Linked DNA regions of Neodiprion lecontei. Each later gene encodes a partner of the first gene's protein in a complex. Links are inferred from orthologs where the notes say so. Each region holds a gene or a part of one and is shown in the gene's direction. Other genes may lie near its edges.

Region 1 (8,027 bases):
CAATTGGATTGGGTTGGGTTGGGTTGGCAACTCCAACTCGTAACACTCCTACTTCTGATTCTACTCCTACTCCTACTCTTGATCCTACTCCTACTCCTACTCCTACTCTATTCAATACTTTAGAATGATATTCTCACAGTGCACGAATCCTCATCGTCCTCGACCATCTTGTTCTCCTTGTCTTCCTGGTCCTCCTTCTCGTCCACCTCCAGCCACAGCCAACCACCTCCAACAACCACCGATGACCACCTCGGGTTATACCTGGAATAGTAATCAGTCTTTTCAGTACAAGAACTCATCAAAAATATGTGCAAGTATTATTATAATTATTCAATTAATCAATTATGTAATAAATTTTAGTAGCGCACTTATAGCTACTGAATTTGTGCTTGCACGAAAAATGAATTGAAATAATTCATTGTAAACGTGACAAGTTTGTAATATTTCAGATGAAATATAATTACAATTGCCATCAAATATTATAAGAATATTAATTAATTAATTTGTAATGTAATAAATTGTATAAGATTATTCATAGCTACTGAATTTGTGCTTGCACGAAAAATGAATTGAAATAATTTATTGTAAAAATGACAAGCTTAAACAAATTTAGATAAAATATAATTACAAGGGCCGTTAAATATTATAAAAATGTTATACTCACCGTGCAGAAATCCTTGACCTTCTCGTCCACCTCATCCCCCGAGAGTCGAGATTCAGCGGGCAGCGGACTTGTAGTGGAAAACCTACGTAGCGCTTTTCCCTGAAGTCGAGTTTCATCAGGTAGCGGACCTCGAGCGCAGAAACGACGGAGCGCTTGTCCTGGAAGTCAAATTCTACCAGGTAGTGGACCTGGCGCGCAAAAACTACACAGCGCTTTTCCCTGAAGTCGAGTCTTACCAGATAGCCGACCTGGAGCGCAGAAACCACGTATCGCTTGTCCTGGATCTCGAGCTTCACCAGGTAGCGTACTTGGAGCGTAGAAACTACGGAGCGTTTATCCCTGAAGCCGAGTTTCACCAGGTCACAGACCTGGAGCGCAGGAACCACGGAGCGCTTGTCCTGGAACTCAAGTTGCACCAGGAAATGAACCTGGATAGTAGAAACTACGGATCGCTTGTCTTGGAAGTCGAGTTTCACGAGGTAGGACACCCGGAGTGCAGAAACTACAGAACTCTTGTCCTGGAACTCGAGTTTCATCAGGTGGTACACCTCGAGCGCAGAAACTACGGAGCGCTCGTCCTGGAAGTCGAGTTCTACCAGGTAGCGGACCTGGCGCGCAAAAACTACGTAGCGCTTGTCCCTGAAGTCAAGTTGTACCAGGTAGCCGACCTGGAACGCACAAACTACGAGCGCTAGTCCCTGAAGTCGAATTTCAACAGGTAGCGGACATGAGCGCAGGCACCGCGGAGCGCTTGTCCTGGAACTCGAGTGGCACCAGGAAACGGACCTGGAGCGCAGAAACCACCGAGCGCTTGTCTTGGAAGTCGAGTTTGACCAGGTAGCCGACCCGGAGCGCAGGATCCAGGAGACAGAGAACCCGGTACTCGAAATCTGCTGAGCGCAATTCTCATACGTCCGCTCTACCGCGCGGTTGTTTCCAGACTGAGGAATTCGGCTAGCTGATTTTCGATCGATGACGTCGAGAAAAAAAAATTTTGGGTGACGTCACTTTCTGATCATCCCAACATGCATACTTTGGTTTCGAACTTCAGTACTGTGTATGATGTATGTTGTATAACGTATGGTTCATGATGTACGATGTATGATGTATGGTGTTTGATGTATGATGATATGAGATGATCTATAATGATTTCAGTTTACACATTTTAGACAAGCAATACGCACTTCATTTCTTCTGCTGATTTTAGACTCAAGCGGCTAGGCTCTTTGATGGTCAGCCTTCGACCAAAGATATATTCTTCAATTAACGGGTCAGCTAATAACGCCGCCGTTCTGTAACAGTTGGATGATAGAATCTTTTGCTCGTGCCTTTCAAATGTGTGTTCAAATACACTCGAAACTTGACCAAGCTCCGTTCCATCTCTTTCTATCAACAACAAAAATCGCTGAGAATCACCGTTTTAGGTATTCAAATTAGGACACTGTATTAAATACTGTCTTATATACGGAGGATTCATTTCATCATCAAAATCAGCGCATCCGAGATGCATTACAGTTATTCTGAATTCTTCTCCGTACGAACACTTTTCGAAAACAATTCTGCTTTTCTAGCCAACGTAGATACTTCACTTGCGACTAGCTAAAACAGTGTTTCGATTCTATGCCTACGAAAGCTCAATATTGATACACCAAATGAAAAGTAGTTCGAATTATGAATAACAATGTTATGGAATACACCGAGCGCGTGTCGAATGGAATCTCATTTCGAAATGAATAAGTCTTTTATTCACATATTACAGTCGTATCATTGTAGATAATCTAATTTGTCTCCTGGAAAATTATAAAATTCATAGTATGCACCGCGTAATAATCGTAAATGGATCACATATATCAATATCGCACGTGGACCGTATATACATACATACTTTTTGGTCTCTGCATTATTATTACATCTGACCTATTACTATTTATGATCTATGTATACATTCTCCTCTCGGGTACCTATACTTTAATTAAATCACTGTTTTGCTACAAATTTTGAAAGAAATTTGCACTGATCATTAATTCCTCGTATTGCCAACCAATCAGTAAGTACACACAGGCTACGTACTGGCTTGGGCGTACCATTGCGAAGACTGTGATACTCTGAAGGTGAATGCAGCCAGCATCATGTCGAAATCGGTAACTCTCTGATGTTCTGCAGCAAGTTCTCAACTCTACCGTAGGAACGTCTCAGGGGGCGCAAGCGCATGACGATTTTCGGTTGTCATACCAAAGCCCTCAAAGCCCATTAGGGCAACTGTCTTTATATTCTTCAGTCAACGACCAAACCAAGCCCTAACCTCCAAAATATGTATTTCCGAATTGTAATGTGCCTCACGTAGTTTGACTAATTTCTAAAAGAAGAGTGTTAAATTTCGCATATCCCAGTGCGCAATAATCGCAAAGAGATGTTTTCCTTCAACCCACCCAAGCCGCCACCGACTCCCGAAGGAGATAAGAGAGTATTTATGAATGATCCTGACATGGATAAAATAGCCGTTCATTTGGTCGGCACTCAACAACGTTTCAGAGAGAATATCATTATACCTAGAGTGATGGGTCCCGTCAGGATAAAAACGAACGACGAGAAACTCATGGAGTCTGTCATGGAGAGCTGCATCTTCAAAAGCTTCATGAGTTGCGTTATGGGTATGTAGTTTTTCGTTAGCAATGGTTGCGCTAATCCCGTCACCTGTAGGTAAAATGGAAGATTACTTAGGATTGAAAAATAAAGTGCATATCTTGATCCTGATCTATAAGTGGTCACGCACATGAAGTTTTCCTAATCTCAAGAATACACATCACTGACTCATGATGAATTATGTCGATAGGCTACGGTCTTGGTGCAGCTATCGGTCTATTTTCTTCCAGTGTAAATCCAAACGTTGCTAGCGTAGAAAAACAGCAAACAGCACGTGAAATATTCAAAGAAATGAAGATGACGACACTTGGATATGCCAAAAACTTTGCTGTTGTAGGATGTGTATTCTCAGCCGTTGAATGTACCATAGAAACAGTAAGATTTACGTTATAGCACTAACAATAATTTGACTTATTCTCCAGTTGGTAATTTGATTACTTTTCGGAATGTTATTGTACTCCCTATTTCTACTTGAAAGATCATATATGAATCTGGTTGGAATGGTATAATGACCCTTACTTTTTAGTACAGGGGAAAGTCTGACTGGCGAAACGGCAGTTATGCTGGTGGTGTGACAGGTGGACTTATCGGTCTTAGAGGTAAGTTAGACTGATTTACACCCTTGATCATTGCATATACTCAGATTTTTTTTGATTTTTCTAAGATTGTGATGCCTCAAACCTGTTGTTACACTACAATAAAATTTCACGTTTTAAAATCCAATCGCTCAAACCCAAGTTGGTTTAAAGATTCTCTTATACCTATTCGAAATTAAACATATACTTGAAAAACTACTTCTTTACACATTATTTTCAAATAAAATCTCTCAAAATGCAGAACAAATCTGTCATACATTTGTACAAAATTAGCGAAACTTATAATACACGTATTATAAAATTACAATGTCATTGTCAAACTTAAAACAGTTAAAACTTCGTGATTTATTATTTTACCTAATATTTTTAGCTGGACTGAAAGCGGGTCTTGTTGGTGCTGCGGGTTTTGCAGCATTTTCAACAGCGATAGATTACTATATGCATAAATCTTGAATTTTTTAGACAAAATTAAATTATTTATTGTATAATACTTGTTAACTGTAAATAATATGCAAGAATAGTGTAATAAAAGCTGAATAAGTAATTTTTATGTCAATAATATATATTTTTTTCAAATTAAAATATAGAGAAGATCAAAATTTTACACAGGATAAGACTTAATTATTAGATTAAAATCACTTGGCTTGACGAAGGAGTTGTAAATATCTGTTAATCTATAATAAAATAGTTCATATACATTTTTCTTGCATTAAAATTTCTTACACACTTACGGTATCTACCTACTTAAAGATTTTCAAAATAGTTGACAATTCCTTGATCAAACTTCACTTTCTCAATGCCAATAAAAATGATATTAGGGTAATATGCCTCCTAATAAAGGTGAGGAATAATAAAAGGCTTTCACTTAGAAAATACAATTGTATAAAGCCGAAAAATTCCACTTAAATACAGATGAAAAAAGTATTATATGTAGATCAGTACAGAGTAAATGCGTTGTCACAACGAACAATTAAACCTATTTTATTTATAGAAAATATATACTCTTCTCTCATATTCGAAATTCGCCATTACCTAATACGATTCTAATTGCTTGTTAACATTCAGGAATTTGCAATACCTAAAACTGGCAGTATATTTAATCATAACTTTGATATGAGGAAATTTTGTACGAATTATGAGATTTTTTTAACTTCATATCGCACATACAATATGGAACGTATTTCAACATAGAAAACATAAATATCGCGCGGATATGTGATATTGTTATTAACATTGCAAGCAAAAACTAATGGGTATCTTTATACCTTTAGTATAAGAAATTCACTAATCTTCTTGTCAGGAATGGCTTGATATTGTCATATTTATTCTACCTCGAAAAGTTTTTTTTGAAATTAATTTTCACTAAATAATTATGTAAAAGTGCGGGTTGTGCAGAACAAGTTGGCTAAAATGATACACATTTCGTTTAAAAAAAAAATACTGCAAGGCACTCTTCATATTTCTCTTTACAATGCACACAGATATGTAAGTAACAAATGTTTTTGTGTCTTGGTTATTTTGTTTTTTTGGTTTAGCTTCTATCACTCAATATGCACGTCCCACAGCACATAAACATTCACAATTAAAAAATTATAAACTATGATGAGAAGTAAAAAAATTGTACTACGTCCTATGAATTGGTGGTAAAATAAAATCGATTCTGATTTGGAATTTCGGAATGGCAAATTCCAAAATTAATACCAATTATTGGACCACTCCTTTTTACGAATCAAAATTTAAGACAGTACTGTAGTTTCTTTCGACTTTTGGCACCTGGCAAGATGGAGATTTTATCCTCAAGATGTATTTAAATATTCTTCAATTCTAAGGTTGTTGTTGTTGCATTTGGGCCTGCATTTGAGCCACCATTTCCTGCATGCGTCGTAATTCCGCTTCCTTTTCTTGTAAAATACGGTCTTTTTCGCTCACAGTATTCGTCTTTTCTGACTCTATAATCCTGTGAGTTGAAAATAATTCGGCCAATTATAAAATAATTCAAGCAAAAAAAAATTATAAACCACTAGTGTATAAATATATTGATCATGAAATTCATAGACTTCTCAGGGTCAAACCATTGGGTGACATACGTTTGACGTCTCGGTGGCGCAGGAGCTCCTTTAGCTAATCTTTCAGAACGATAATTTTCATAATGAACCTCTTGCGTAACTTCTTGGAGATCTTGCATGTGTGTTCTGTAAAATGTAGAGATATAAGCATTATAACAATCAATAGAAATGGGAATATGAATTTTTCAGCTCAAGTTTCATGAAATGTACAAAAGAATAATTATAAACTTGATGCAACACAAGTAGTTACACTAGCCTTGAATAGCACGATAGAATGAATTGTGCAAATATTAACCTTTAGAGGACGAGAACACCCGTATACAGGGGTGACGCATGATCGACACTTTACCTATGATAGTTTTAACATATTAGATACCTTTGTTATGCATTTTCTGAAGGACACCAAGAATCCCAAATCCTCGTTCTCTAAAGTTTAATGGAACATGATATTAATTATGCTCAAGACTTACATAAGCATTGTCCTCAATTTTATGAAGTCACAATGGTCAGGATTTTCTACTTCCACAACACCCCACGGATACAATCGTCCCCTAACTTTTCTCCCTTTGACTTCTAAGAGCGTATTTGCACCACAAACTGCGAATGGTACTGCTTCCTTCAACTGTCTCACTTGTTCCTTGTAATCTTCATCTTCATCGCTATCACAGTCTGGAAGTGGGTATATTTTGATACCATTGCCTTCGATCTCCTCCATAACACGTTTCTTCAAACGAAGAACTTCCTTTTTCGTCAGCACATCCGCCTTTGCTATTACTGGTACAATATTGACCTTGTTGTGCAGTTGTTTCATAAATTCAATATCCAAAGGCTTTAACCTGAAGACACACTATGTTAGTGAATTTGATTTTCTAAAAAGGATTAGAATAAGTTAACTTCTACAAATGGGGAAGGGCAGAGATTGTAATGTTGTAATTATATTGTGAAAAACTTATTCTGCAAGTGAACGAACAATTCCATGCTACATAATTCTCAAGCAGGTATTTATTTCCAAAAGCCTTTCCTTAAACATGAGTCATGTTCATATTCCACAGTACAAACGTTGGTTAATGCTTACCCGTGACCAAACGGAGATATAAAGTAGAAACAGCAATGGATTCTGTTATCCACAATATTTCTACGATTAAGGCCACTTTCGTCTCTAAGAAATCTTTCAAATTGGTCATCAATATACTGAATAATGGCTCTGAAACTGTCAGTATTGTCGATAGCATCTCCGTATCCAGGAGTGTCCACTACTGTCAATCTAAGTTTCACACCGCGTTCCTCAATTTCTACAGTTGAAGCATCAAGCTTCACAGTCTGATTCGTTTTTTCTAAAAAAAATGTATAAGACGCAGTAAAATATCAATGCACTGGGAATCATTTATCGATTGTTGTAGATATTTATTGATTTATTAGGATATAAATTGATACATATGAAAATACAGAAACTAGCCAGTTCTGTATGTACTAACCAACTGCGTCAGGAATAATTCTTTCCGGGTACAAATCTGTGAGGAAGAGGCTATTCACTAGCGTTGATTTTCCAAGGCCCGACTCTCCGACGACCATTAAAGTAAATTCGAACCCTTTTTTAACAGACTTTCGATGAACCTGATTTGGCAGATTAGCGAAGCCAACATATCCAGGTGTCTCAAGGCTGGCAAACTGCGGTAAATTTATAAATGAATACAAATACTAGATCGAATTGTGGTGCTGATAAATATGGGACAAAAGAAAGTCGCAAGTTTTGAAAAAAGTCACCAACTTCCGCATACCCGACATAATATCTATAGCAAATGAAGGAAATTCTCATTTCCTAATACCAGAAGTGGTGACTTAACATTGTTTTTCCATTGAAATTGGACAGAATCCTATTTGAAAACAGTGTTATTGATTCAATGACATGACTAATCTGAAAAGAATGCACGACCTAGGGGTTAGGTGCAGCATGCATGCATGTGTGTATCTAACGTTGCAATAATATTATCTCCCCATACGTCCGGTTTCTCATAAAACAATTCATCAAAGGTTTCCTCGAGCCAAGTAGAATCCTGG
Region 2 (7,374 bases), on another chromosome or scaffold:
ATCAAAATCGATTTCTACTGGTTGAACTTTGTCAATAACTGAAGAGACCTTGTCGATACTATCAGCTTTAGCAACAAAATTGGCAGGAAATATTCCCACCTTTCCATGAATTTTACCCGTCCACCATCCTTCATCGCCGGAAATTTTTGAATCTTTCGACAGAACCTAGTAGAATACAAATAATACATCTGATGTTTTACTTAAACTTGGAACTTACTTTTTAATAATGTAAAATAAATATATTGATACAACAAGTATATACTTAAGAGTTTCTTGATATTTTATGTTAGGCAAGAATATATATATGCACACACATTTGAAAAGAAATATTGATATCTAATTGAATTACCTCAACAGTTTCACCTCTTTGAAGCGTTAGCTCATCTTCACCCTGAGCAACGTAATCAAATAGAGCGGTGAAAATAATGGAGCTATTGTCATTTTGCGATTGTGACGAGGAATACGTTCCATGAGATGGGCTGGTTTGTTGGGATACGGTTTTAGCCGTGCCACCACTATGTGTGTCAGAAACGCTGCTGTCCGACATGTTATTGTTCGAAGCACGTGCCTCTGAATATCCGTGGCTAGTCCATAACAATTTTTTTCTTACTTAACAAATTTTATATTGATAATAACTATTATTATCATTTTCATGTAATAATGGAAACTGTGTCGTTTAATACCAACACAAATCAATGGTGCAACAAGGTAAAAATAAAGTAGCTAAGTGAAGAAAATATAAGCTTAGGTTCAGATATTTGTGAAAGAACAAGGATTTTAAATTTTTACTTTATCAACGTAATCTTTTTATAGTTTCAAAAAATGGTTATTAAGCTTATTTCACTCCCATTTATGCAACCGTAGCGTATCTGATTACCTCGTCCAATGGTGGGTGCCTCTGTTGCTCGGCTGATATCTGGGTGAATTGGTATTGCTTTGAGTCTGATAGCGTGTGGAGCCATTCTCCGGATAATGTAAAAATCGCTCGCTCTGATGACGAGCGTCCGGATGTCCGTGGTCCATCAAAGTAGACAAACCTCGTGCCGATAGCCCGGCAGGCGGCATAAGGCCCAAGCCTTTCCGCTGTTATCCTTTTTAACAAAATTGATCTCTACATAGTTTTCAGCTGTTGTTGATACAGCTGGTTTCCATTCTTACATTTCATTATTTGCTAATAGACAAGAATAATTTTTTAAACGAAATTTTTAAGCCATTTAAGAATTAATGATAGCTCACGAGTACAATCTTTAGGCTGTAGGCAGCTTACAAGGAAAGAAAAATTTCAGCCACTGAACAACATCTGCAGCTGATGTGTCATTTCTCTAACTGGTTTATCACTAGTAAATTAACAATTTTGAAAAATTATCAAAACCAAAGATTCATATTTAAAAGCAGGTTCATGTAAGTATGAATTATGAATGGTGCATTTCCTTGCTTTTAAGGAATGTAGGAGTATGCAATGTTGAATTAAAATTTAGAAAAGAGCTGATGAGCAGCAGAGAGCGTTAACATAGCTAGTTTTGCAAAATGCAATCAGATTTACTTAAAAGAGCTAAAACTTGAGAATAGAAAAAAACAAAAAACATTACAACCATGTTCACAAACCTCAAGAGAGATAGATATCGGGTACATATGGTTTTTGCTACAAATCATAGTATTCAAAAATTGGATGTTGGTTTCATTTCTTTACGGCATCTCACCAAAATGAATATAATTAAAGTCAAAAGTCTTATTTCATATTACTTAGTTAATATTTTTCGAATATAGAAATGGAGCCAATACTTTTATAATTTATTCAATAGAAATTAACAAAAAAAAAAATAACAGCAGGCATATTGACGCAATAACCTGTTAAATCTATTGATAATAAAGGCCAAATCAGGCCTATTTATAAATTTGATTAGAGTTCGAAGATGTTTGGAAGTGGAAATTCAGTATTATTGATTTTTTTTTTTTATTGATTTTCTGTAAACATAGTCAAAGATGAAATGAAATATTCTTTAACTACTAGCATGGATATAATTGAATTGATAATTGACTGTATATTTCTCAGGTTAATAAATATGTCGAAATTGGTGAATAAAATTTCGCATAAAATCTAATTAATTAGATTACTGTAAAATAATGCATGATACAGGTTAGTGTGATGATGTGCATACTAATTGACTTGTTTTAATGTCGAGGTTCATTCACTGCCATATTTGAGATGCATTAAAAAATAAATAAAATAAACGAAAAAAAAAACTTATCATCCGTTAATGTCATCACGTGACAGATATGAAAGTTTATAGATTAGCCTGTGAAATAAAGTGGCAGAGAAACAAAATCCATATATTTACCAAAGTGATCTTCAAGCAGCCGATGGTGGCTCTTATCCCACTGAAGAAAACACTGTACAAAACCTCGACATTTTCGGGTTTTAATATACAATTATCACCAATCAGCCAGAGTATTTGTTTGCGAGGGTGAACAACAGTCAATAAGAAACTACTAACTACGTCACAAATATAGGAGAAACCCATAAAGCTGAGGATATACTCGAGGGATCTCGCGTCAGGGTGTGTATACCCACAACCCACTGTTTATGCAATTCAATTTATATGTTTTATTGGCGTTCTGATTACAGAGTTACGTTTAAACCGGGGCGAACGAGGCCGGGACGCCTTCCCGTACGCGCCGCGCTCCGCATCGGCCCGGAAAACCTGTGAAATTTTCACATTAACACCAGAAAATAAATTATCACTCACGACAATAACCTAGCAGGCGCCATGTTTAATTTGATAGTCCCGTCCAGGAAGACTGGAGGGAAGCAGACCGAACTCTAATGCATTTGTGGCGTAAGCTGAACTCCAAAAAGTGTCGTCTAGAATAGTTCTAATTTTTACCACCGTGTTATGTTCGCTGCTGTACATGTTTTACGATCTATAGCATGGCTACACTGGCTGCACCACTCTACATAAGGCTTATTCCCGCGGAGGTAGCATCATCACTAATTTCTATGGTATAACCGGCATAACCACTGATACGTTGACTGAAGTTGTATCACCTGATCTCTATATTCTGCGTCGCGCAACTCAAGTCAGTAAACGGTACTATTCATAGGAAAGACAACAAGAACAACAATAACTAATGTTACCGTGCGCTCCATATACTTAGCCAGTGTGACTACTCGTCAGGCAATTCTGGAACACCTGGAAATGTCATGGAATTCTGAAATTCTCGAATAGTCTGCTATGATAAACAACCGAAAACTACCAACAAGAGGTTTTCTATTCGGGACATTGAATTTCAATGCAATTTACAGTTAATGAGGAGCTGCCGTAAGTTAAATCCGCCGGGATTGGACAAACTCCCGGAACTAGTGCCTAACTGAAGTCGATTTATTTTTATGCTATAAGGGGTGGGGGCAGTCCAAACCACGATTCATACCATACGAATAAACATTTGGAGGGGAGTACTTTTAACTAACTTCAGACATGGAAATGCAGTAAATTGAACCATCTCTGATCCTAACGTGCAAGAATACCGATTTTACACATAATTTGTATTTGCCAACTCTTTACATCAGCTGTAGAAATATTCTAAACCCAAAGATTGACTAGATAAATTCGGAGTTTCTTATTGACCAGTAAAATTCGCAACTTCCACGTATAACATTGCCACAGTTTTATTGGGACGTACTACTAATGAAATATCTTGTTGGATTTGCGAATCCTTACTTAACATTCTAGTCAATCAAAACTTGAATACTAAAAATGGAAATGCCGACTGAAGTTGATGCGGAGCAAATCAAGTCGGCAAGTATTCGTTTTATGTGTCAAAATACATGCGACTGAGTGAGGACCACTTCAATTCTGAACTTCTCAAGGGTCTCAAATTTGAATATCAAAAAGTATAAGAAAATCCTCTATGGGAACCGAATTCCATGTCAAGTCTTATATCTGTTATATTACGCTTTGATTTGTTATTACGGTAGACATCATCTGCAGTCATAATATTTTTAGGTTATCGTTTGTCCACGTTGCTAAGTTTTGAATTCACTAGCTTGTTTTAAAGGACTAATAATTCCTTAACAACTCTAACGTAACCCAAATATTCGAACGTATTCCCAAATTGAGTTCAAGAAAGTTGTCATTCTATGTAACACTTGTTCATATGAAGGCCAATCTAGATTATGTATAATAGAGTTACCAATATCTTGTACCGTTGAAGTAAAATTACGAATGTTGATCTATTACAACTTTCAGCAAAAGTAATTTAAACGTACTTTCGTCTTGTCCTACAGTCTGGTAAAAATTCGAAGTGTAACGATATAATTAATCGTTTAAATTTGACATAGTAAAATATTTAATAAAACATATTTATTATTGGAATAATTTTATAACTTTTCAGTTTAGAGACTTCTTGACATCATACAATAAGCTATCGGAAATCTGCTTCATTGACTGTATAACCGATTTTACAACACGAGAAGTGAGAACCAAAGAGGAGAAATGTGCGCTGAATTGTATGGAGAAATATATGAAGATGAATCAGAGGGTCTCCCAACGCTTTCAAGAATTTCAGATGATAGCCAATGAAAATGCAATGGCAGCAGCTAAAAAATTAGGTCAATTACGCTAATAATACTACATTTATTTTTGGTCATTTAGAATTTTATCAACAAGTGCTCCTCGTTCTATGTTATATGCTATTAGTATATCAAAAACGTCTTACTATATGAATAAACTAACGCATGAATTTTATAGAAGTAGTAGTGTATTTATTGTTATATTATGTTTTTAAACATAACTTCCACCATTGGCCCATCTTTCATGAACGAGTTTTCAAAAACCCTAATAGAAGATGATAATAATTAACATATACAGTATTCCAGACTGTACTGTAGGTAACAACTTAACACTATAGTTATAAATTATTATAATCATTATTTCAAGTGATATTCCAAAAATAAATGACCGGAGATCTACTTACACCTCAAAAAAAACTGATATACATCTTCGAGGAATTCTTGGGCATGTTTCATCAAGATCTGGTTTAGGCACAAAAATGTACAGAAGTATAGTTCATGAGACATGTAACTGTTGTTCTGGTAAACCTTAGTATATCAAATGCTTGTAAATAATATTTCTTTATGTAACTGTTCTTTACAGGCATTCTTACAAATGTTTTAAAATATAATTCAAACACAAGACAGGATTGTAAGTTTCTCTTTTTATACAACTAAATACCGGTGAAGCGAACGGAATTTTCTGATAGAATGAGAAAAATTACGAAATTCCGGAAAAAACTGCACAGAACGTCAGCAGATAATAGCGAAGTTTAATGAATTCACAAGAAGGGGACGGAAAAATAAAATCGGCTACATTTCTTTTCGCAATGTCATTGATTTTCGCCTTTGATTATATTCAACCATGCTATCAAGGTGCGATGGAGCTTGATTTAAGTTTGAATTATACTTACAAAAACTGGTTTATGACTGTAAAAATCGGCGTTTTCAGAGAATTGTCATTATGCAAGAACATATGTGTAGATTCGTAATAAAATCTCTATAACATTTAGCTAGATTTGGAGTGACCAAAGCTATGAAACTTTGGTTTTATTTGCAGGTCTGTACTTGGTATATCCCAGCCAAAGTTTACAGTTTGTGTCAGGCTCTCGACAGAGCCAATACCCTGTATTTGGTTTGTAATTTGTGTACCAAAATTCACACTTGAAATAGGTAGCTCATTCTCCTGCATTTCCGAATCAGGATTTGGCGAATTTGGTGGAGTCTTTCGTAGCCTTTTGTAATCGGATATTCTATTCAGAGAAACTTGATCGACGCAAATGGCTTGGGTCGTATGGCGAGTTTTGTATAAAATTGGACAACTCAAATCACCCTTCAAACTTAAGCTGTACAAATTGGCAAGCCTTCGTAGTTTTTCACGCTCAGGCTGTCGCATTGGATGCAGCTTTAGTTCACTTTGGCTAGGGTCCTGTAGAAACCTTGAAACTTTTTCGTTCGCCGAAGTTATTATAGAATAACCAGGCTTATTATCCACACGGCGTCGCCCAGCTCGAATTTCTCTGCCACTGAGTCCATCTCGAATCCATTGCATTCTTTGACGATAATTTTTTTTCGCCTCATCGGTTAAATGCTCAAAGCTACCGTGTAGTATTACTTGCAAAGCCGGATCTGAACTGACCTTTTCTTCATTTGTGCTGTCCCCGTCGTCCCACCATCCTGAATCTCCAATCCAATCGGATTGCTCATCATCGCCTGAAAGCCAAAATTTCGTAATTGTAATGAACACATCACTTGAAAAAAAAATATGCGTGTTTAATAGAATGCCTTCAGAAATAACTTTGTTTTTTTTTTTCCATCTCCCACTTCATGATACTATAGTTCATAACAAAATATTGAACTTTGTGAATGGAAAATGCAGAACAATTTTTTCAAGCTGTACCACATCGAGATTTTGTAGTTGCCATTTGATTTGATTAACACGTAAGAAATCCAATTCTGACGTTTATTTGATAATAATTTTTCTATACAAAGAACGGAACTTTCTATGATAGAGTTTGAGTACTTATTTAGTTTTCTTCAAATTGGCGCGTAGTAAAATTTGTCACTGTACAGATTTTTCGAAAGGGTGAAGGACTATGTTTACGTAATGTTGAATATCTCAGAAATCGTACTGCTTAAACTTTTCTATAACACGCCAATTTGAAGAAAACTAAATAAGTTGTGAAACGTATAGTATATAATATGTAGTATATAAACGTACCATAGAAAATTCCATTTCTTGTATAAAGAAATTATTATCTCCATCGAAACATCAGAATTGGATATCTCACGTTTTAATCATAAAAAAATGAAAAAAAAAAAACAGAGCATTTTCCTTTTATGACGTTCAATATTACATTATCGACTATAGTTTCATGAAGTGGTAGATCGGCACCCCAGTATTTCAAAGTATCTTAATGGAATACAGTATCTATATAACTTAAACACATGTTATATTTAAAATATAAACTCACCTTCGCGGTCTTCATCGTTGGTAATTATTCCACCTTCAGAATCACTCGATGAAATACTAGAGTTAGAAATGCGTGAGCAGTCCATCACATCCTCAGCTTGCATCTTACCACGGTTTTTTATTTTTGAATTACGGTTTGGTTTGGGAGATCGCATTTCACAGTCAATTGAACGCTCGCGACATGACCTCTTCCTTTTGCCACACCTAAAATCAACATGATATGTAATTATCTACTCCACTGATTTGGAACATTTTTATCTTAAGTGAACAAACTGAAGTGAATAAGATTGCGAAACTGTCTAATTACCATGTTTCATGTCTAAGTCTGCAATCGTTCCGAAATCCCCTTTTC

What was found.
Region 2: the proteins of mitochondrial import inner membrane translocase subunit Tim22 (region 1) and mitochondrial import inner membrane translocase subunit Tim9 are in contact, whole or in part, in a cryo-EM structure (PDB 7CGP), measured with the Homo sapiens proteins. The link is inferred for Neodiprion lecontei from reciprocal best matches to the Homo sapiens genes TIMM22 and TIMM9. Residues at the interface, in NP_037469.2 of Homo sapiens: Asp35, Arg37, Gln38, Pro39, Arg40, Leu42, Gly45, Ser46, Leu47, Gly49, Ile50, Ser52, Pro53, Lys60; in NP_001291414.1 of Homo sapiens: Gln13, Glu16, Phe17, Thr20, Leu57, Thr60, Gln61, Met65, Phe67, His71, Gln74, Asn75, Leu78, Lys81.

What each region holds. Positions count from the first base shown.
Region 1 is NC_060262.1:34,054,439-34,062,465, reverse strand, and holds mitochondrial import inner membrane translocase subunit Tim22, read left to right. Parts: upstream 1-2,809; 5' UTR 2,810-2,972; coding exon 2,973-2,973; exon of another isoform or gene 2,974-3,054; coding exon 3,055-3,315; intron 3,316-3,497; coding exon 3,498-3,682; intron 3,683-3,833; coding exon 3,834-3,906; intron 3,907-4,273; coding exon 4,274-4,356; 3' UTR 4,357-5,478; downstream 5,479-8,027. Other genes in the region: uncharacterized protein LOC124293463, read right to left, coding at 138-261, 665-852, 1,033-1,200; septin-1, read right to left, coding at 5,728-5,860, 5,991-6,095, 6,440-6,805, 7,045-7,303, 7,445-7,637. UniProt on the Homo sapiens protein: Essential core component of the TIM22 complex, a complex that mediates the import and insertion of multi-pass transmembrane proteins into the mitochondrial inner membrane. In the TIM22 complex, it constitutes the voltage-activated and signal-gated channel.
Region 2 is NC_060265.1:19,684,951-19,692,324, reverse strand, and holds mitochondrial import inner membrane translocase subunit Tim9, read left to right. Parts: upstream 1-3,411; 5' UTR 3,412-3,755; coding exon 3,756-3,797; intron 3,798-4,392; coding exon 4,393-4,623; 3' UTR 4,624-5,558; downstream 5,559-7,374. Other genes in the region: mitogen-activated protein kinase kinase kinase 11, read right to left, coding at 1-165, 350-584, 878-1,065; G patch domain-containing protein 2, read right to left, coding at 5,559-6,262, 7,024-7,226, 7,330-7,374. UniProt on the Homo sapiens protein: Mitochondrial intermembrane chaperone that participates in the import and insertion of multi-pass transmembrane proteins into the mitochondrial inner membrane.